5 linked regions of the Mus musculus genome follow. The protein of the gene in region 3 purifies or fractionates together with the protein of the main gene of each other region. This does not show direct contact. Links are inferred from orthologs where the notes say so. Each region holds a gene or a part of one and is shown on either strand. Other genes may lie near its edges. The genes, in order: Bag4, Ddx6, Dcp1a, Edc4 and Pnrc1.

What was found.
Region 1: the proteins of Dcp1a (region 3) and Bag4 purify together in Homo sapiens (affinity purification with mass spectrometry; 4 studies listed by BioGRID and IntAct, counting the BioPlex papers as one, with this or other methods). This does not show direct contact. The link is inferred for Mus musculus from reciprocal best matches to the Homo sapiens genes DCP1A and BAG4.
Region 2: the proteins of Dcp1a (region 3) and Ddx6 purify together in Homo sapiens (affinity purification with mass spectrometry; 8 studies listed by BioGRID and IntAct, counting the BioPlex papers as one, with this or other methods). This does not show direct contact. The link is inferred for Mus musculus from reciprocal best matches to the Homo sapiens genes DCP1A and DDX6.
Region 4: the proteins of Dcp1a (region 3) and Edc4 purify together in Homo sapiens (co-immunoprecipitation; 9 studies listed by BioGRID and IntAct, with this or other methods). This does not show direct contact. The link is inferred for Mus musculus from reciprocal best matches to the Homo sapiens genes DCP1A and EDC4.
Region 5: the proteins of Dcp1a (region 3) and Pnrc1 purify together in Homo sapiens (affinity purification with mass spectrometry; 3 studies listed by BioGRID and IntAct, with this or other methods). This does not show direct contact. The link is inferred for Mus musculus from reciprocal best matches to the Homo sapiens genes DCP1A and PNRC1.

What each region holds. Positions count from the first base shown.
Region 1 is NC_000074.6:25,768,152-25,771,839, forward strand, and holds part of Bag4 (BAG family molecular chaperone regulator 4), read right to left. Parts: intron 3,183-3,688; coding exon 2,928-3,182; intron 1,552-2,927; exon of another isoform or gene 1,386-1,551; coding exon 1,131-1,385; exon of another isoform or gene 259-1,130; coding exon 1-258. UniProt on the Homo sapiens protein: Inhibits the chaperone activity of HSP70/HSC70 by promoting substrate release. Prevents constitutive TNFRSF1A signaling. Negative regulator of PRKN translocation to damaged mitochondria.
Region 2 is NC_000075.6:44,603,403-44,607,748, forward strand, and holds the start of Ddx6 (probable ATP-dependent RNA helicase DDX6), read left to right. Parts: upstream 1-1,489; 5' UTR 1,490-1,550; exon of another isoform or gene 1,551-1,834; intron 1,835-3,531; exon of another isoform or gene 3,532-3,635; intron 3,636-3,720; 5' UTR 3,721-3,990; coding exon 3,991-4,190; intron 4,191-4,346.
Region 3 is NC_000080.6:30,517,390-30,521,077, forward strand, and holds part of Dcp1a (mRNA-decapping enzyme 1A), read left to right. Parts: intron 1-1,529; coding exon 1,530-2,288; intron 2,289-3,688. UniProt on the Homo sapiens protein: Necessary for the degradation of mRNAs, both in normal mRNA turnover and in nonsense-mediated mRNA decay. Removes the 7-methyl guanine cap structure from mRNA molecules, yielding a 5'-phosphorylated mRNA fragment and 7m-GDP.
Region 4 is NC_000074.6:105,887,224-105,890,911, forward strand, and holds part of Edc4 (enhancer of mRNA-decapping protein 4), read left to right. Parts: intron 1-77; coding exon 78-180; intron 181-263; coding exon of another isoform or gene 264-282; coding exon 283-463; intron 464-558; coding exon 559-631; intron 632-730; coding exon 731-822; intron 823-894; coding exon of another isoform or gene 895-897; coding exon 898-1,085; intron 1,086-1,164; coding exon 1,165-1,295; intron 1,296-1,372; coding exon of another isoform or gene 1,373-1,375; coding exon 1,376-1,532; intron 1,533-1,880; coding exon 1,881-2,317; intron 2,318-2,401; coding exon 2,402-2,506; intron 2,507-2,595; coding exon 2,596-2,748; intron 2,749-2,837; coding exon 2,838-2,874; intron 2,875-3,016; coding exon 3,017-3,194; intron 3,195-3,298; coding exon 3,299-3,454; intron 3,455-3,541; coding exon 3,542-3,657; intron 3,658-3,688. UniProt on the Homo sapiens protein: In the process of mRNA degradation, seems to play a role in mRNA decapping. Component of a complex containing DCP2 and DCP1A which functions in decapping of ARE-containing mRNAs. Promotes complex formation between DCP1A and DCP2.
Region 5 is NC_000070.6:33,245,952-33,250,391, reverse strand, and holds the start of Pnrc1 (proline-rich nuclear receptor coactivator 1), read left to right. Parts: upstream 1-1,604; 5' UTR 1,605-1,994; coding exon 1,995-2,444; intron 2,445-3,884; coding exon 3,885-4,328; 3' UTR 4,329-4,440. UniProt on the Homo sapiens protein: Nuclear receptor coactivator. May play a role in signal transduction.

The sequences.
Region 1 (3,688 bases), on a different chromosome or scaffold from region 3:
CTTTTTAATACTTGGAGGAGTGCCCTCATCTGAAGAGAAACACTCTTCTGGGAGATTATTACTCGGAACTTGGTTGCTGGGATGCTCGCTGCTGGCATTACCATATAACTGAGGCTCAGCACTATACTGGACTTGAGAATCCAAAAGGTCTGAGTTGTCATTGTTCACTGCTCCCGGAGATTCATACTGATGGACGCTGCAGGGAAAGCTGTGCCGGCTCAGGCCTTGACCCGATGGGTTGTAGGAGTACGAGGGGTCCTTGAAATGGGAAGACAGAAAGGAGACAGAAGCTGTCTTAGTGGGAAGCTATCAACATCAGATATGTCAGTGTGCATCGTTTACCAACCAGGAAAGAACTGAAAAGACTTCCACAGAACCATCAGAGACCAACACTGTTAGACGACAAAGGGAGAGCCCTTTGAAGCAGGAGGCACACAATTCCTAAATACGATGGTTGGAATCTACCTCAATGCAAGTCACTCTGTGAACACTTCCCAATTTTACGACCTCACAATTCCTCGGTGACTTAATCATTAGTTTCCCTTAGACAGTGAAAGCCTTCAGAGCATAGGCAAAAGCAGAGTGTGTGTCTATGGCTTATGTAAAGCCCAGCACCCAAGCCAGCACGTGCTATTCACATCGATTTTCCTCTCGCTGCATAACATGAGATTGTGAAATACATCCCTTGATTCTATTTAATATTCAGATAGTTCCGGCAGAAAAGAAGCATTTTCCTGTCTTTTTAAAAAAGATATGGTCCTGGAGAGATGGCTTCTCCTGAGGACCCAAATTTGATTCTCAGAAGTTACAAGGCAGCTCATAACTGTCTGTAACTCCAGTTCCAGGGGATAAGCCTCCAAGGGCAACAAGCACATATGTGGCCCATAGACATACAGGCAGCCAGGATATCCGTACACATAAAAAATAATGAAAAATTACAACAACAGATAAGAACCTTAAAAAAAATCCCCAAACAATACTGTCTGTAAGAGAAAAGGAAGCTAACACCATGCTTAGTAGAAACCACCAACTGTTTTGCATCTAACAGACTAATACAGAGAAAGAAGTGTCGTCTTGTGTCCTCTTAATTGCCTAGAGATCAAAGGAATAGCACTCGGAAGGCCTCCTACCTTAGGCTGCTGAGGTGGGGGTGAAGGAGGCGGCTGAGGAGAACTGTTGCCTGGCCACGGTGAAGCACTTTCCGTCATGTACAGGCTCCCAGCCGAGGGGGCTGAGGGTGCAGCTGAAGGCCAGGGGTAACGGGCTCCCATCCCATAAGCGCTGGAAGCCCAGGCATCGTCTTGTGGTCGTCCAGTCCCTCCTGACTGCGGCACAGCGCGGTTGCCATCTCCATAAGGATAATGGGGCAAGGTCATTCCAGGGTTCTAGATTGGGAAAACAAATATGCTGCTATGCTGGCAGGTCACTGCTTATACGTAATGAAAACAGCACAGACAGGTCCTGACCTGCTAGTGACTCATTAATCAGTTACCAAAAGTTCTCCACACCTGAGAAAACCTGGCTCCCAAAATAAAGAACAGAGTTGTTAAAAGACTCATGAGTTAGACTTCAAATTCACTGGGTGAAGCATGTATTTTCCAAAAGCACTACAGATAAATGAATCCATACATTATAAGACAGTAGAAGTGTTCTCAAAACAAACAGGAATAGGTTTGGTATACTCACAGCATATTAATATACACCTAGAAGCATTAGGAAAGACTAAGTTAGGGAAAGCTTCAAGCAACAACTAAAGATCTATTACAAAAATTGTATGGGGGCTGGAGAAACGTCTCAGTGGTTAGAGCACACACTGCTCTTCTAGAGGATCCAAGTTGAAATCCTAGATTCCGTATGAGGTAGCTCCGGAATCCATCACTCTAGTTCCAGGAGTGCTCACACCTGTGGCCTGAGTACCTGCACTCATGGACATGAGCACACAGTCACGAGTACACATGGAATTAAAAAGAATGAAAATAGGAGAAAACTAAAGAGGTGCCAGGTGTGGTACCATGTGTATCTAGTCCCGACACTCAGGGGAGAGAAATAGGCAATTTGCTGTGATTATTTGAGGCCAGCTAGGTCTGTAGAGGGAGTTCCAGGTGCCCAGGGTGACATACTAACACCTGATCTCAAAGAAGAAACAGACAAAAAAGAAACAGACAAAAATATATAAATTATGGGCTGGAGAGATGGCTCAGTGTGTAAAGGCACTTGTTATGCAAGTCTGGGGACCGGAGTTTGATCCCTGGAACCCACAGAAAGTGAAAACCTGCTCCACAAAGCTGGCCTCTGTCCGCTACACATGCGCTGTGGTACATGTGTGCCATCCCTTACAACTCCCATCATGCACACAAATAATAAATATATTAGGATTTAAAGGAATTATGATATTTTAAGGTCTCTTCAGCCACATCCATTTAGGCATCAATATAAAAGAAACCCCTTCCTTCACTTGTCAAACAATTTTTTAACATCTACAGTACTTCCTTTTTTGTTCTTTTTTTTTTTTTAAAAGATTTATTTATTTTATGTATGAGAATAGCATTGTTGCTGTCTTCAGACACACCAGAAGAGGGCATTGAGCCCAATTACAGATGGTTGTGAGCCACCATGTGGTTGCTGGGAATTGAACTCAGGACCTCTGGAAGAGAGCAGTCAGTGCTCTGAACGGCTGAGCCATCTCTCCAGCCATTTTGTTTTGTTTTGTTTTTGAGACAAGGTCACATTACGTAGTCCTGAATGGTCATGAACTCAAGGGCTTCACCTGCCTCTCTCTGCCTCATGAGAACTGGGGTTAAAGATGTACATGTCGTGTATGGCTCTAGTTGTTTTCTTAAAACAGAACCAGTGTAAATGGGTAACTTTCCACTGTTTAAAATTCAGGAAATAGAGGCATTTTTTTTCCCTCACGGGAAACTGCTTACCTGTGAAGCAGGATATCCTGGCACCTGTCCCCTCAGAGGAGGTGCTTCTGTTGGACAGTCCTGCTGGGAATACATCCAACGAGACATTGGAGTTGGGCTGTTACCAGGTGAACGGTAGGTGTTTGGAACTTCCGTGGAGTAATTGCTCTGTGTATAGCCAGGTACATAGTAAGCCCCAGAGTAGGAGGCAGTACTTGCTCCAGGGCCAGGAGGGTAAGGCGGTCCATATGCTCCATTTGCATAAGAATTCAGGCTCTGGGGGTGGGGGGAAAAAAAGGTAGTGGCAAGGAAAAGATAAATGGGTTGAAGGGCTAAAAACGCCTTAGTGTTCAACCTTGAGAACTTTAGGAAGTAAGATGTCAGTAACCGATGACCATATAAGCTATGTAAGCAGTCTATGAGGTACTTTCTCTATTTGCTATAATCACACTCCAGGTACTGAACTCAGGCTATATAAATTAAGGGGCATCAATGGAAGACTACATGGTGATGACAAAGTGAGAAGTAATGGGTCCCCCAAACATCTTTTTACATTTAATTCATAACTGCATGTCTAAGCAGAGAGCTTGTGCCCACAGGAGGCAACTCTAGGAATCCTTGGAGACAGGGTAGAGGAAAAAGGAATATCATTATATAATAGAAAGGGGGAAAAAGTCAGAAACACTCTCTAATAGCTTTATATTTAGTTACTCTTAGCTTCCGTTTCTCTAACAGGAAAATGAAGAGCCAAAATTTACCTTGTAGGATTATTATGAAAAATT
Region 2 (4,346 bases), on a different chromosome or scaffold from region 3:
TGCTGGGTGTGGTGGCACAAATGACAACTGGCTATTATTCTACTCTGTGCTTGCTATGGCAAGCATGCACTGGAGTTTGGTAGACTTGGGCTCTCAAGTAAAAAACAAAAAACAAAAAACAGGAGAGCGCAGCGGTTTAAAAGGGGGGGGGGGGCTTCAGACTTATTCTGATTGGATGTTGCTAGCTAAGAAGCAGGAGGGCTGGAAGCAGGGAGTCATTGGTTTAGAGAGCATATTTGGCTTTCTCTGATTGGTCTCAAGTTGGAAGCAGCGGTAAAAATATGGAAGCTGCAAGTCAGTGACTAAGTACTGACTGTCCAGGATTCCCTAACGTCGGTGTTTAGTAAGGAATCGCACTGTCCCAAAGGGTTTAACCACTGTCAGTATTTCCAGCCCTCCAGCAGCGTAAGACGCGAGTTTTTAACTTTCTCCGGCCCAGCTCGATTTTTACTTAACAAACAAAAAAGTTTGTTTTGCTTGGAACAAGACGACTTTCTAGGTTAAGGATAAGACATCAGGATCCGAGAATCATAGAAACAAACGCACAAATATCTGCAGTAAGGGTCAGGCAGGAGAATCTACGGGTCTCCCATTTGCACAGCGAGCCCTCACTGGTAGAGGCGATCCGCCCTTCTTTCTAGAAGAGTGCCACTGCGGGCAGGAGCAAAGGGTCACCTCGCCTGCACTCCGGGTTTGATAGCCCACGACCGAGGGCGCGCTCCCGGCTCACTGCTTCCCCCGGTGCCCCTTCCCGCTCCCTCTCAGACAGCATCGGCCCCAAAGGCCCCACTTTTCTGCACGCCCTGGCCTCGCAGCGTCCTCCCGGCCATCCCAGCTCAGCTTCCGGACCCGCGCAGGCTGCCCTCCGAGTGTGTCCGAGGTCAGCAGTCAGCAGACGTCCCCTCCGGCCCGGGACCCGTCAGCCCAGCTCCGAAGGGACGAACGAAGGCAAGGGCGACAGTCCTCGGCCACCGCCATTCATTTCCCCAGCGGTCTCGTCAGCTCTGCAGGCAAGCCCTCTCGCCCGTCCGTCCATCCGTCCGTCCCTCCGTCCCGAAAGCAACCCCGTGTTTCCCTGAGCTCGGCCCCGTCAAAGGCCGGTCTCTCCCGACCCTCGCCCGCCGCGCCCAGGAAGCCGTGACGCCGCGGCGGCTGCAGCTGCAGCGGCCGAGCTCTCGCCATCTTGTGTGGAGGAGGAGGAGCCGCGGCCGCCGCCATGCGGAGCGGCTGGGAAGGAGGGAGGGAGGCGACGGCGGCGGGCGAGGGAGGGGGCAGAGCAGCAGAGTCAGCTCAGCCCGGCGGCGGCGACATCGGGGGCGCCGGCACAGCGGGCGCCGGCCGAGGTAGTGCGGGGTGGCGGCGGCGGCGGCGGCGGCGAGCTGCGCGGGCAGCGAGCGTCGCGGCGGGGGCGGGGCGGGGCGGCGGGCGTCGCGGCGAGGGGCCGGGTGGGGGCGGGCGGAGGTTTCCGAGGAGGAAGGAGCCGCCGCCATTTTGGGAGCTTCGAGTCAACAATAAAGGACCGAGGGTGCGGAGCGGGAGTGGCCTCGGTGGTAGGACTCGGGCCCGAGCCGCGGGGCGTGGGGTGAGGCGGCGTGGTCGGGGTCGGCAGGATCCTGAGGGTATCAGGGAGCCCCCTTCGGGCAGAAGCCCGAGGCCCAGGCCTGGCCCGGGAGGACGGGCGGGTGGCCGCTGAGAAGAGCGGGGGCGGCGGAGAGGAGTGGAACCGAGGAATGTGGCGTGTGCGGGGTATGGAGGAGGAGCGGCGGGGAGCTCTGGACGAGCGGTGCGGTAGACGGGAGCGGGGACGGAACACCGGCCGGGACACCCGAGTGAGGTTGGGAGTGCGAGGCAGGGCAGCCCTGCGGGGGGTGGCAGGGCTGTGCTGGCCGGGGACTCGGCTGGGAGAGGAGCCGCGGCTGCTCGCTTGCAAGTAGGCCTTGCAGGTTGGTGGGGACAGAGGGTTTGGGGGAGACTCGGCGGCGTAAGAGGGGAGGAGAGGCGGTCCAGTTTCGGGGTTCTCTTCCGGGCCTTCTGAGGGGGGGGAGTCCCTATTGTTTCCCACTCGCAGAGCTGGTTCCGGCTCTTGTGGCGCAGATAGGATTGCAGGGCAGAAACCCTTTTGCTTTTTGATCCGAGGGAGCTGGGTTTGAAGCGAGGGAAGTTGGGGGAGGGGGCGAGGAATTATTGCCTTACGGTTACCGGACTCCGATTCTTGGCTTAGGGTTTTCCCTTCGCCATAGCCCCCCTTTACCTTCGTAAGAACCCCAATCACTCCTACTTCCTGTTGAGGCGTATAGAAATCGCCCTGTATTTGCAAACAAAAGCCCTTGTTGGAGCTTATGGGACTGTTTTAGGTGTGAAAACTGTCAATTGCTAACCACGGTCTGGGCCCTGCTGTAATTAACTCTGCCAGGGGCTCCTCCCAACTAAGTCTTATGTTCCTTCGTGGTTTTGTTTTAGGAATATAACTTGCAAATCTAAATTGGGAAGGGGTAGGACGAAAAATTTCCCACTGAGCCATAAAGCTGCAGTGCAGGTATCCGTTTCTGGAGGGAGCAGTTATCGAAGTCTCTGGGTTTAAGGCGCTAGGAGGTTTTACTGTGCTTGATTGACAGTACTGATGGTGTCGGTTAGGATTCAGAGGTTGCCCCCTTCATCCTCTTAGTGCTGTACAAACAGTAAGCCTTCCTGTTTGACGGACCTGATACTGTTGATCGTATGCTGTCAATACAGAAAATACCTATTGAGATAACAAATAAACAATTTAATGTGATAGAAGCATTTGTGAGCAAGTTGATGTATTTAACTTGAGATATCTTTTGACTTCTAAATTATGGATTTGGGATACTTGGTTTGAGGCAAAGATAACCAGTACTAATTAAGCTAGTGTTTCGGGTGCCAGTGAAATGTAAGGGGGTTACAAAATAAAACTGAAGGAGTTGGACTTATACTTACAAGTCCTTAGTAATATTTTATTTACCAAATTTTGAGAATTCCATTTGGGGAACAATTTAAAGTAGAGGAGGTTGACCAACTCTTTCTTAAAATAACTGTTAATTAGACGCTGTATTCTAGGTGATTTGGGAGAATTTTATTAAACCTGTAAGTTTAACTCTCTGGTATTTCTTTCCCCCTTAACTACAGGACTCCCCGCCCCCACCTTTGAACTTTATTTTGAAAAGTGTTGTATTAAAAGGCAGCACTAACAGCTTTCAACTTTTTTTTTGAAAAGTCTTCTCGTTTTAAGGTTTTTGGTTTCTGTCAGAAATAGAAAAAAAGTTAATAACTTGTCTTGGTCAAATCTAGATGTACATTAAGTAAATTGAGTGATATTTCAAGTCTTAATGCAATTAAACGTAATGACTTTTAAAGGTGGCAGGACTTCGAATTCATCAGGGGCGATTGGAGAACAGATTGTTATTTGAGAGTGAATTTGAATTTTATCAATAGTATCTTTCTGCCTCACTTTCTCTAAGTTTCTTTGATCTTGGAATTTTAAATGTTTGAGGTTAGATTTTTTTTTTTTTTTTTTTTTTTTTTTGTAGATTGGGTTTTTTAAGGCAGTTCTTCGATGTGTCTTTCTTATCTCAAGTAGTGATTTGGCCTGAGTGTGGCTGTTAGTGGTTCTCTAGAAGGTGAGCATTCTAAAGGAGCTCTTTAAAAGGGAACAATTTTCCCCCAACTTTGTTGTCTGCTAATTTAATTTTTTCTTTGTTTCAGATTGAAGTGAGTGAATTCAGATATAATTCAAGCTTGTTAGAGGGCTTTAAAAAAAAAAGTTGATTCGGTGCATGAAAGCAAGTTAACTACTGCTGCTCACCGTTGAGAGACTTACAGGTGCTTGCCTGAACTGCAATAAAGGACTCATATTATTGAGCAGGACTTATTTATCTCTTCATTTTGGAGAGCCTCATAAACTGTTATTACAGTTTCTCTACTGACTTTGAAAAGTTTGAAGTTTGGAAGAGACACCTGTGCAGCTAACAAAGCATGAGCACGGCCAGAACAGAGAACCCTGTTATCATGGGTCTGTCCAGTCAGAACGGCCAGCTGAGGGGCCCTGTGAAGGCCAGTGCTGGCCCTGGAGGAGGGGGCACACAGCCACAGCCACAGCTGAACCAGTTGAAGAACACCAGCACAATCAATAATGGCACTCCACAGCAAGCCCAGAGCATGGCCGCCACTATTAAGTAAGTGGAAGAAGACCTTGGGGACCCGCAGTTTCTGGTTATTTCTGTTGTTGACTACTTTATGCCTTACATTAACTGTTTTGATTGCAGTTGGAGGATAGATCATTTTGTCATGGCCCAGTAGGTATTTGTAATCAAGTAGTGTGTGACCTGCCA
Region 3 (3,688 bases):
CAGCTTAGGGGGGTTGAGATTATTTTGTTTTGTTTTTATTTTCTGGGGGCGGGTGAGGAGGGAGGTAGGATATTGGTCGGTTGGTTGTCTAGTTTGGAAACATGCTTTGTTGCCTTGGATTACCTTATATTCAGACTAGTCCTCCTGCCTCAGCCTCCCCATCCTGGGATTATAGGGATGAACTACCACATGCACGTTTTAGTTCATTTTTTGTCACAGAATCTCTAGCCGTCTTGTTTCAGCATAAAGAATAGGTTTGGTTTTTGGCTTTTGGTTTTTTTTTAAACTACTGGGCATTCAGTAATCAGGAAGCTGAACCAGAATTGTTGAAGCTTCAAGGCCAGCCTGGCTTCATAGTAGAGCTGTGAAATAATTGTCACAGTTACATTTGTGATTATATTTTTTTATGTTTACAGTTATGTAAATTTTCCAGTTAGTACTTGAGAATAGTGGGATCTGGAGAATGTAAGACTATGAGGGAATGAGCCTTGTGAATTGATAGGATACTATTGTTGTTACTCCTGTAATTTATAAAGGGATTTGGATGTAGACTCACTGTAGGAGGATCTCTCTGAGTTTAAGGCCAATCCAGTCTACATAGTTCCAGGACAGCCCAAGCAGTGTGGAAAGACCTTGTCTCATAATACCAAACACACACACACACACACACACACACACACACACACACACGCGCGCGCGCGCGCGCTCCAGGTTCAGAATCTCACTCTAAATATAAGGCCATAGCAAAAAGGGATAAAAAATATATTCTTTATGCATGTGCATATGCTAGGTAAGAGTTCTACCACTAAACCACTTCCCCAACTTCTTTTTTTTATTATTATTAAAGTTTTATTTACTTAATTTATATGAGTACACTGTCGCTGTCTTCAGACATACCAAAGAGGGCATCAGATTCCATTACAGATGGCTGTGAGCCACCATGTGGTTGCTGGGAATTGAGCTCAGGACCTCTAGAAGAGCAGCCAGTGCTCTTAACTAAGCTGAGCCATCGCTCCAGCTCCCACACACACAAACACACCTCTAAATTCAGTGTAAATGTCTTCCTTTTTCCTCAGGATTCTGTAATTTGAGGGTGTAGGGGAGTCATGACTGAGTACTGAGTGGTTAAAGTTGCCTTAGGTGTTTAGGATCTGCAGTGCAGTGCTAACGTTCTATCAAGAACAATAAAAGTGAGCCACTTAGAGTTTGGTCCTCTCGCACTGGCATCATTTGCCAGTGTGTTACTAATGTGGACACTCGGTGTGGGTAACTTTGTTGTGTATAGCCCCAACCTTAGCCACATTCACCAGGGGAAACAGAGTAAATGCTAAAACTGTTCTCCGTACGGAACTTTGTCACTCTACAGACTTTGCTAGAAGGTGGTCTGAGCCCTGCTGCACCTCAGGTTGCTCCAGGCTGTTTTCATCCGCTGTCCTTGCTTCTCCATATGTGCACATGATGGAAAAGAATCCTAGTTACATTGGTTTCTGCGCCTCTCTTTGATTTTGTCACTTGCTTTTGTTTTTCAGTCTGCTCCGTCTGGTCATAAACATCTGACAGTAGAAGAGTTATTTGGAACCTCCTTGCCAAAGGAACAACCAACAGCTATGGGTCTAGAGTCAGAGGACACAGACAAGCTGCTGGGAGATGCATCACAGAAAGAGCCCAGCTCATTCCTCCCATTTCCCTTTGAGCAGTCAGGGGGAGCCCCTCAGTCTGAAAACCTGGGTATCCATTCTGCCGCTCACCACACAGTTCAGCCTGAAGTCAGCACCCCAGTGCTGATCACTCCCGCCTCCATTGCACAGTCGGGTGACAAACATCCCCCAAGCTACACACTCCCACTGAGCCCTGTCCTCAGCCCCACTCTGCCAGCTGAAGCTCCTACCACACAAGTTCCCCACTTACCTCGGAATAGCACCATGATACAAGCAGTAAAGACCACACCCAGGCAGAAATCTCCACTCCTGAACCAGCCAGTCCCTGAGCTAAGCCACAGCAGTCTGGTTGCTAGCCAGAGCCCCTTCAGAGCCCCGGTGAGCCTAGCAAACCCAGCTGGCACAGCCCTCCCAAGCGTTGATCTGCTTCAGAAACTCAGGTTGACCCCACAGCATGACCAAATACAAGCACAGCCGCTTGGAAAAGGAACCATGGCGCCCAGCTTTTCTTCGGCAGCTGGCCAACTGGCCACCCCTGAGAGCTTCATAGAGCCTTCTTCTAAGACAGCAGCAGCAAGAGCAGCAGTCTCAGCCTCCCTGAGCAACATGGTGCTTGCTCCAACCCTCCAGGTAAGACAGGAGCAGGAGGGCATAGAGAAACAAGACTACAGAGGCCTCAGCTTTAAGTGACATGAGACTTTGTGTGTGTGTGTGTGTGTGTGTGTGTGTGTGTGTGTGTGTGTGTGTGTGTGTGTGTGTATTTTGTGCAGCAGCCATACCCAACTAAAGATGATGTGTGTGTCTGTCTTGTCTGTCTATCTGTCTGTCTCCATGGTCTATAACTAAATTTGCTCTGTGGGGTGAGGGGGCCCTGTCTGTCTATCTGTGGTCTGTAACTGATCTTGGCATGTAGACTTGTACGCAGGTGTATATGCATGCGTGGGTTTCCAGGTTCTGTAGTAACTCAGATTTGCTGTGTAAACAGACCTGGAGGAATTTGCATTGGAAGGTGACTACATTGTAGTTAAGGAGTGTGAGTTATATTTCAGACCTTAGGAAGGCATTGAAAGGTTCTGAACGAAGAGTGACTTGTTGGTAATGTCAGAAACAGGAATCTGGCCACCTGTTCCAGGACAAGCTGTCAATCACTTTGCCTGAGCAGTAGGGGCCTGGGTTGAGCACTGTGGACAAGGAGATTTTTAAAGTATCCGGTCAGGGAGGCTTCGTGGTCGATTGGTAGAGAGGGTAAAGGAGAGGTTTGCCCTTCAATAGCAAGTTTACCAGGGAGAAAACGAGCAGAGTGTGATGATCACATGGCCACAGCTGGAAGGGAGTGGGGTGTGCTGCTCTGTGACTGCTGCCTGCCTGTCAGTATTTGGGTCTGACACAAGAAGGAAGGAATGATGTGCGCGCGGGCAGGGCCTGTGCTGTGTGTAGGTGTCACGGGCCAGGAGTGCTCTCGCTCCTCTTCCTTTGCTCTGATGGACTGACTGCAGGAAGAAACATATGAAGGGAGTTTGTTTGGGTTTCTGGTTGTGAGGGAAAGGGTTGCCCCACCTCTCAGTTGATCTGGAAGCTCAGGTAATGATCTGCACCTGCCTTCTCCATACTCAGCACTAGAAGACAGTGACGCTCCTGCATGCTGCTTGGCAGAAACCACTTACATATGTGTAAATACTCATTTACATGGCAATAGCTAATTTTAAGATCTTCTTGCCTGATATAGTGGCAAATGCCTTTAGTCTCAGTAGGCAATCTGTGATTTCAAGTCTAGCCTGGTCTACATAGCAAGCTCCAGGCTAGCCAGGACTATCCTTTCTCAAAACAAAAAAACCCTGGTCTGCATGGAGTTGTCTTGTGTTTACTGGGCAGCATTAATTCTTTCCCAAAGACCATGAGCATTCACACCTATAAAAACATAGTGAAGAAAGCTGAGGCAGAGGGGTCTCAAGTTAGAGACCAGCCTGAACAACCCAGGTCTCAAAACCAAACAACAAAAGGACCTTCTCTGTCTCTTACAGTATACTTAG
Region 4 (3,688 bases), on a different chromosome or scaffold from region 3:
ATGAGGGAGGTAGACCGGGGATATAGCTTCTTTGAATTCTCAGTCTTACTTACTTGGTCTGCTTCTTGGCTTCCTAGCTTCTCCCCAGATATCTTCAGCTCAGTGAGTGTGCCTCCCAGCCTCAAAGTTTGTTTGGACCTCTCAGCAGAGTATTTGATTCTTAGTGATGTGCAACGAAAGGTAGGCTGCTATGGTGGTACGCTGGAAAGAGCTGGTGTTGCTGGGCAGGGCAGGGCTATGTGACATAGCCTCCGTTGAGTTAGGAGTGTGTTGCTCATGCAGGTCCTCTATGTGATGGAGCTGCTGCAGAACCAGGACGAGGGCCGCGCGTGCTTTAGTTCTATCTCTGAGTTCCTGCTCACCCACCCTGTGCTGAGCTTTGGCATCCAGGTTGTCAGTCGCTGCCGGCTACGGCACACTGAGGTCCTGCCTGCTGAGGAGGAGAATGACAGTCTGGGGACCGGTGAGTTGCCCAGGGGCAGGATTATACGTTGGTATGTGGGAAGTGTCCAGGCACAGAGCAGGCCAAGGCCTTAATGATCCACACTGTCCTTTCAGAGAGTTCCCATGGAGCTGGAGCCTTGGAATCCGCAGCTGGTGTGCTTATCAAGCTCTTTTGTGTGCACACTAAGTGAGTGTCAGGCAGGCCTGCCATGTCCTGTCTATGTTCCCCCTACCCTATGGCCCTGGCCTTTTTGAGTATTCTCTTCTCCCCTTTGCTGCTCTTTAGGGCACTACAAGATGTGCAGATCCGCTTCCAGCCACAGCTGAACCCTGATGTGGTGGCCCCACTCTCTACCCACACTGCCCACGAGGACTTCAGTGAGTAAGGGAACAGGAGGGAGACAGGTTCCACTGCTGTGGCTTGGAGACCTGACTAGGCAGCTTTCCCAGCAGCATTTGGAGAGTCTCGACCTGAACTAGGCTCCGAGGGGCTAGCTTCAGCTGCTCATGGTTCCCAGCCTGACCTGCGGCGCATTGTGGAACTGCCTGCTCCTGCAGACTTCCTCAGTCTGAGCAGTGAGACCAAGCCCAAGTTGATGACACCTGATGCTTTCATGACACCTACTGCCTCCCTGCAGCAGGTACTTCCTTCCTCAGTGGAGAGAGCTCTGGTAGTGTCCCATTAGCTGACCTTCGTGCTTATTCTCTGGATTTTCCCAGATCTCTGCATCCCCTAGTAGTAGCAGCAGCAGTAGCAGCAGCAGCAGTAGCAGCAGCAGCAGCAGCAGCAGCTCTCTAACAGCTGTGTCTGCTGTGAGCAGCTCCTCAGCCATGGACCCTTCCTTGCCCAGGTAAGATAAAAATCAGAATTGGGTCTAGTGCCAGTCTGAGATGGATTACAATTGCTAATGCTTTACCTTTCTGCCAGTAGACCACCTGAGGAGCTGACCTTGAGCCCCAAGCTGCAGCTAGATGGCAGCCTGACGCTAAACAGCAGCAGCAGCAGCCTGCAGGCAAGCCCTCGAAGCCTCCTTCCGGGCCTGCTCCCAGGCCCAGCTGACAAGTTGATTTCCAAGGGACCTGGTCAGGTGTGTTGGGGGGTGGGGGGTGGGGGGAGGAAGGGAGGAAGGGGAGGGTATGTGTGTGGGGATATGCATGAGTATAAAGTACTGGGTAGCAGCAGGTGTAGGTCGATGGGAAAGATTGGAGCACTCTATTCCTGCATATTTTTCTGCTGACCCTGATGGGCCTTGGAAGTGTGACATTTCCCCAAAGGTTAGAGCGGCCTCTCATTGCCATCTCTCGTGAGCTGTGGCCCTACTTTCCAACTGCATCTCTCTTTCCTGCTACATTATGGCCGTCACTGCAGATCCCAGTGACTTGTTTTTGCGCCCCTTAGCCCCTGTTACTTAAGCCTTTGTCTTTGCCCTTCTCAGGTATCCACTGCTGCCTCTGCACTGTCCTTGGATTTGCAGGAAGTGGAGCCATTAGGGCTACCCCAGGCCTCCCCAAGTCGAACCCGTTCTCCTGATGTGATCTCCTCAGCATCCACTGCCCTGTCCCAGGACATTCCTGAAATCGCATCTGAGGCCCTGTCCCGTGGCTTTGGCTCCTCTGTTCCTGAGGGCCTCATTGAGCCAGACAGCATGGCCTCAGCTGCCTCAGCACTACACCTACTCTCTCCTCGGCCCAGGCAAGGCCCTGAGCTTGGCTCTCAGCTGGGTCTGGATGGAGGCCCTGGAGATGGGGATAGGCATAGTACCCCTTCCCTGCTGGAAGCAGCCCTGACCCAGGAAGTTGCAACCCCTGACAGTCAAGTCTGGCCTACGGCACCTGACATTACTCGTGAGACCTGTAGCACACTGACAGAAAGGTGAGAAGCTTAGAAGGGGAAAATTATGCTTGGGGTGGGAGGGACATTAGGATTAGCCACTCCTGAGCCAGTGTATTTCCTTAGCCCCAGGAATGGCCTCCAGGAAAAGCACAAAAGTCTGGCTTTCCACAGGCCACCTTATCACTTGCTGCAGCAACGTGACAGTCAGGACACAAGTGCTGAGCAAAGGTGAGCGCCACCTGGGTCTATGTGCTCCTCTGTGAAGGAGAGCCATTAGTAGGGGGACAGCAGGTGAGCAGGCTCTTCCCCTTCCACAGTGACCATGATGATGAGGTTGCCAGCCTTGCCTCTGCCTCAGGAGGTTTTGGCAGCAAAATTCCTACTCCACGGCTGCCTTCCAAGGATTGGAAGACGAAGGGATCCCCTCGGACGTCACCTAAGCTCAAGAGAAAAAGCAAGAAGGATGATGGGTAGGAGGATAGGAGGCTTCTGGGACCAGGGCCAGGGGTGGTCTCCTAAGCTGCCTGATGTGACCTGCAATGCTTTTTTGCCTATGTAGGGATTCAGCTGTGGGATCCCGGCTCACAGAGCACCAGGTATGTAAGGGAGGACCTTCTACCTATGGGACCCCATCCCAAGGTGGGGGGGGGACACACTTTGAGCTATTTCTTTTTTGGGGCGGGAGGGGGTGGAGATAGACAGGATAGACATTGTGTAAGTTGTCAGTGCTTCTGGCAGGTGGCAGAGCCCCCTGAAGACTGGCCAGCACTAATTTGGCAGCAGCAAAGAGAGCTGGCAGAGCTATGGCACAACCAAGAAGAACTGCTACAGCGTCTCTGTGCCCAGCTTGAAGGTCTTCAGAGTACTGTCACAGACCATGTAGAGCGTGCCCTGGAGACGCGGCATGAGCAGGAGCGTATCCTTGGGGTAGTGGCACAGCATGGTAGTAAGATGCGGTAGCATTCTTGCCTAGGAAAGGCGTAGGTCCTGTTGTAGGCCTGTTCCTTAGCTCCACCACAGAACGGCGGCTGGAACGGGCACTGGCTGAGGGGCAGCAACGGGGTGGGCAGCTGCAGGAGCAGCTGACACAGCAGCTATCCCAGGCATTGTCTTCAGCTGTGGCTGGGCGGCTAGAGCGCAGCGTAAGGGATGAAATCAAGAAAACGGTTCCTCCATGTGAGTTTTCCATGAGCTTTCTTTCAAGTGGGCTGGGTGAGTGTAGGGCTTTTTCAAACTTCTGGTTCATCCACCTGCCTCTCCTAGGTGTCTCCAGAAGTCTGGAGCCTGTTGCAGGTCAACTAAGCAACTCAGTGGCTACCAAGCTTACAGCTGTGGAAGGCAGCATGAAAGAGAATATCTCTAAGCTACTCAAGTCCAAGGTGATGTAGGATCCAGGTTGGGGGAAGTGTA
Region 5 (4,440 bases), on a different chromosome or scaffold from region 3:
CCCTGACATCATTTACAAGAAGGGCTGAAATCGCCCGGCTTGGTAGCGCATGCCTTTAATCCCAGCACTTGGGAGGCAGAGGCAGGCGGATTTTTGAGTTTGAGGCCAGCCTGGTCTACAAAGTGAGTTCCAGGACAGCCAGGGCTATACAGAGAAACCCTGTCTCAAAAAAAAAAAAAAAAAAAAAAGGTCTGAACTGAAATCAGGAATGGATATTCCTGACTTTCACCATCATCTGTTCACTATCAAAGAATCAATGTACTGGGAGTGGCTGTGTAGAAAGAAGTAAGATGTCAGGGCTCCCTTCTGGGATCTCTAGCCTGAGAACAAAGACATTCCCTACTGCTGGCCAAAGACAATGGAACTATTCCCTGCCTCTAACCTCCTAGCTCATTCCCATCTTCTGTTCTCCTCACAGTGTGTGTGTGTCTATGTGTGTGTGTGTGTGTGTGTGTGTGTGTAGTGGAAGCAGGTTTGCGGCAGAATGTGTTTGGAAGTCAGAGGGCCACTTTGTGGTTTTGGCTGTCTTTCATTTTTAGGTGGCTTACAGGGATGGGACTCAGGCTGCTAGGCTTATATAGCAAGCATTTTAATTACTCACTGATCCATCTAGATGCCCTGCTCTTTTTATTATGAGGCAGAGTCTCATTAAATTCCCTACACTAGAAATTTCCCATCCTCTACTTCTGCCTCTCCAGGAGCTAGTGTTACAGGTCTTGACCTTGCCATACCTAGACCAGAGTTCAGATTCTTCTGTTAATTTTTTAATGATTTGTGTCTAATTCTTTAGTCTCTTGTATGCCTTACTGTAAAATGATTAAAAAAAAATTATTGGACAATGGTGACATGGGCCTTTAATCCCAGCACTAGGGAGGCAGAGACTGGTGTATCTCTGTGTTCGAGGCCAGCCTGGTCTACAGATCGAGTACAGAGTACAGCCTGGGCTACACAAAGAGTAACGCCATCTCGAAGAAAGAAAAAAGAGGAAACTAAATAAATAAAGCCCCAATCATTAAAGAAGTATGTTTCAAACAAGATGAATTACAGAAATTGGTTCTGAGGTCCTATTTGGTAACTGGTGTCTACAGTTCTTTTCTGTATTAAACTGTGAGTAGAGAATTCTGTTAACCCAGTTAGCTAGCAACTGTAGCAGAGCTGTTTTCTCTGGGTGGGACAAAGGCCAATTGGTTGGCAGCAGCATCAAGTTTCAGGGGCAATGTGAGATCTCAAGAGACTCCCAGAGATCTTTAGCTATAAAGGCAGTAAAAAATTAAAGGCCCATTTTCGGCATTATAGAGTACTTCTGATGAGCTGAAGAATCCTTCAGTAAACCCTTTTTTATTTTCACCACCAGGGTTAATTGGCAGCGTCGGAAAACCGAATGAGAAACCACATAGCCAAATTTCACTGTAGGTTAAATGGAGGCAGATCTTCACCAGTGCTGTAAATCCTTAGTGAAATAAATCCTTAGTGTTCTCCGAAATCTCTTAAAATTTTTATGTAGGGCTGAAATCGAAAACCTACAAAGCAGTCCTTTCTGGAGGTCAGAAGCTTCCTAGTTCCTCCACCGCCTCTCTCCTCCTCCTCCCCTGCCCCACCCCCAGGCTACCCCAAAGGATCGCTGCCAGGGAGGTGAGGCAGAAGTCGAACTTCATTGTTCACGGGACACTCTCGGTAAGAGCCCGTTGGGCGCGCCTGCGCAACGTGCGCTCTTTGTGAAGGGCTGCAGCAGGCTGCTTGTTTGTGTCTTGCCTCGGGGCGCGGAGGCGGGACCGAGGGAGTGGCCTGGCAGGCGCACGCGGATTGGGCCGCCGCAGGGAGGTGGGCGGGCACGGGGCGGGGCCTCGGGTAACAACACTGGCCGCGGTGGCCAGCGCTATTTGTTGCTGCGCCGCCTCGCCCGAGTCATGGTCCTTGCTCCGAACCTTCCAGCAGCAGCCTCCGCCGCCGCCCCGTGACTCCTGCTCCCCGCCTTTCTGCCGAGTCCCCGCGCCATGACCGTCGTCTCCGTCCCACAGCGAGATCTCGCTCTGAGCGGCCGCTTAGCGCCGCTCGGGTTCCTCGGGGCCCTCCCGATGGTGAACCCGGCCCCGCCGCCCTTGCCGCGCCTTCCGGACCCGCGCGCGCTGCCACCCACCCTCTTCCTGCCGCACTTCCTCGGGGGGGACGGGCCGTGCCTGGCGCCCGCGCCTCGCACCACCGCGCCGTCCGGCTGCACCTTGGCCCCGGCGGCTGCCCCGCGGGCGGCGCCCAAGAAGCGGCGGAAGAAAAAGGTGCGGGCCAGCCCGGCCGGGCAGCTGCCCAGCCGCTTCCACCAGTTCCAGCAGCACCGGCCGAGCCTGGAGGGTGGTCGCAGCCCGGCGCCGGGGCCAATCGTCGCGCAGGAGGAGCGAGGTCTGGCGGCCACTGCCCTGCTCCACAGACAGCCCCCACTCGCGAAGGAGGTAGGGCCGGTGGGGGCGGGGCGGCTGTTTACTCGGGAGGGAAGTTTCCGTGACGCTCGCTCGAGTGGTGGGGCGGAAGCGGGAGGGGGGCTGGGCGGCTGCGCTGGCGCCGCCCATTGGCTCCGGAGCCAGCCAATGGGAGCGGCGGCTACGGCCCAGCAACAGCCTGCATTTAGAAGCTTGGCGGCGCTCCAGGGGGTTTCGGCGTTCGGGGCTCAGGGACCTGCGGAGGGCTGACGTCAGCCCGCTACGTGCAGCGCTCTGGGGCGCTCATGAAGGCGGTGCTGGGTGGGGGCGGAGGCGCAGGCGCAGGCGCGGTGCCCAGTGGGGCACCGGGCGGGCGGGACCCACGCACAGCCAGATCCGCTGAGTCGGACTGCTGTTGGGAAGTTGGCAGGAGTCTCCGTCTGATGCCCGACGCGAAGGTGTCCCGGGCCCTGTGCAGGCCGGCACGAGCTTGCCTCGCTGGAGGGGGCTTCTAAGCAGCGCCCTGAATGAGTTTTTAGAAGTTATAAAATGGACTCCTCGGTTAACGGATCTGGATAACTGGGATACAGTTTTGTCGAGGCTAAAGGATTTGAGAGTTGTCTTAGCATGAAAAACAAAAGCCGAAACCACCTTTTTCATACAGCTTGAAGAATTCTTTGTTGGTAGTGACACGAAAAGCAGCCATTGTACTGAAATTGTACTTGATCAAGATGTGCCCATGAAGAGGAATAAGAATTTAGATCCTGAAGTGGTTTTTTGTTTGGTTTGGTTTGGTTTTTAGTTTTTCAGACAGGCACTTGCATTAGCTTAGAACTCACTGTACATTGGAGAAGATTCTATTTTTCAGAGGCAGTTTTGAACGGGAAAGACAGTATGACCTTGTACTTGGGTCTCAGTTTTTGTGTCCTTACTATATCATGCAAGCATCAGAGGGGCAGTGATCTAAGGGTGTTTTCATTTGGTGCACATTTCTGTAGATTATGCTGGGAAAGTTACTACAGTGCAAAAGTTTGTGGCCTGTTAGGATTCGGGCTGTAGCCCCGGCTGGCCTGGAATTTACCTTTCTGCTTCTGCCTTACAGACCTTTTGGCTGAGCTTAGAAGGTCGTCCATGAAGTTGCTGAATCTGAAAGGCAGACGGGAACTTTTTTTCTAACCTATAGAGGACACTTGTTCCTTACTGTTGTTTACAGTTAGAAAAGATGGACATTGAGTTTTTTTTAAGTGATATTTTTCTGAATGTAAGTTTGATATATGCTATAATTAACAGCATCAATTCAATAGCAACATAAGAGGCGTGCACATTTGAACATCCAGTAGTAAGCACATCCCACACATAACGTATTTATTTAAAACCGGATTAAATTCTAGAGGACTTTAAAAGCAAGTTTGTAAAATATATGTAAAGATAACTTTTATCTTGAAAATTGCTCACTTTTGTGTTCCTTTGTAGGTTTTAAAATCAAAGATGGGAAAATCGGAGAAAATTGCCCTTCCCCACAGCCAGCTTGTGCATGGTATACACTTGTGTGAACAACCAAAGATAAACAGACAGAAAAGCAAATACAACTTGCCACTAACCAAGATCACCTCTGCAAAAAGGAATGAAAGTGACTTTTGGCAGGATTCTGCTTCCTCCGATCGAATGCAGAAGCAGGAAAAAAAGTCTTTTAAAAATACTGAGAACATTAAAAGTAACCATTTGAAGAAATCAGCATTTCTAACAGAAGTGAGCCAAAAGGAAAATTACGCCGGAGCAAAGTTCAGTGACCCACCTTCCCCTAGTGTCCTCCCAAAGCCTCCGAGTCACTGGATGGGAAGTACCGCCGAGAACCCCAGCCAGAGCCGGGAGCTGATGGCAGTGCACTTGAAAACGCTCCTCAAGGTGCAGACCTAGGCTTGCGTCTGCAGTGTGTGGTAAACATCGATTTCCCCAGACCTTTGGACTCGAAAGGAAACGGATACAGCAGTGAAAACTTGCCCTGTTGCAGCATCCGACACAATGAGCT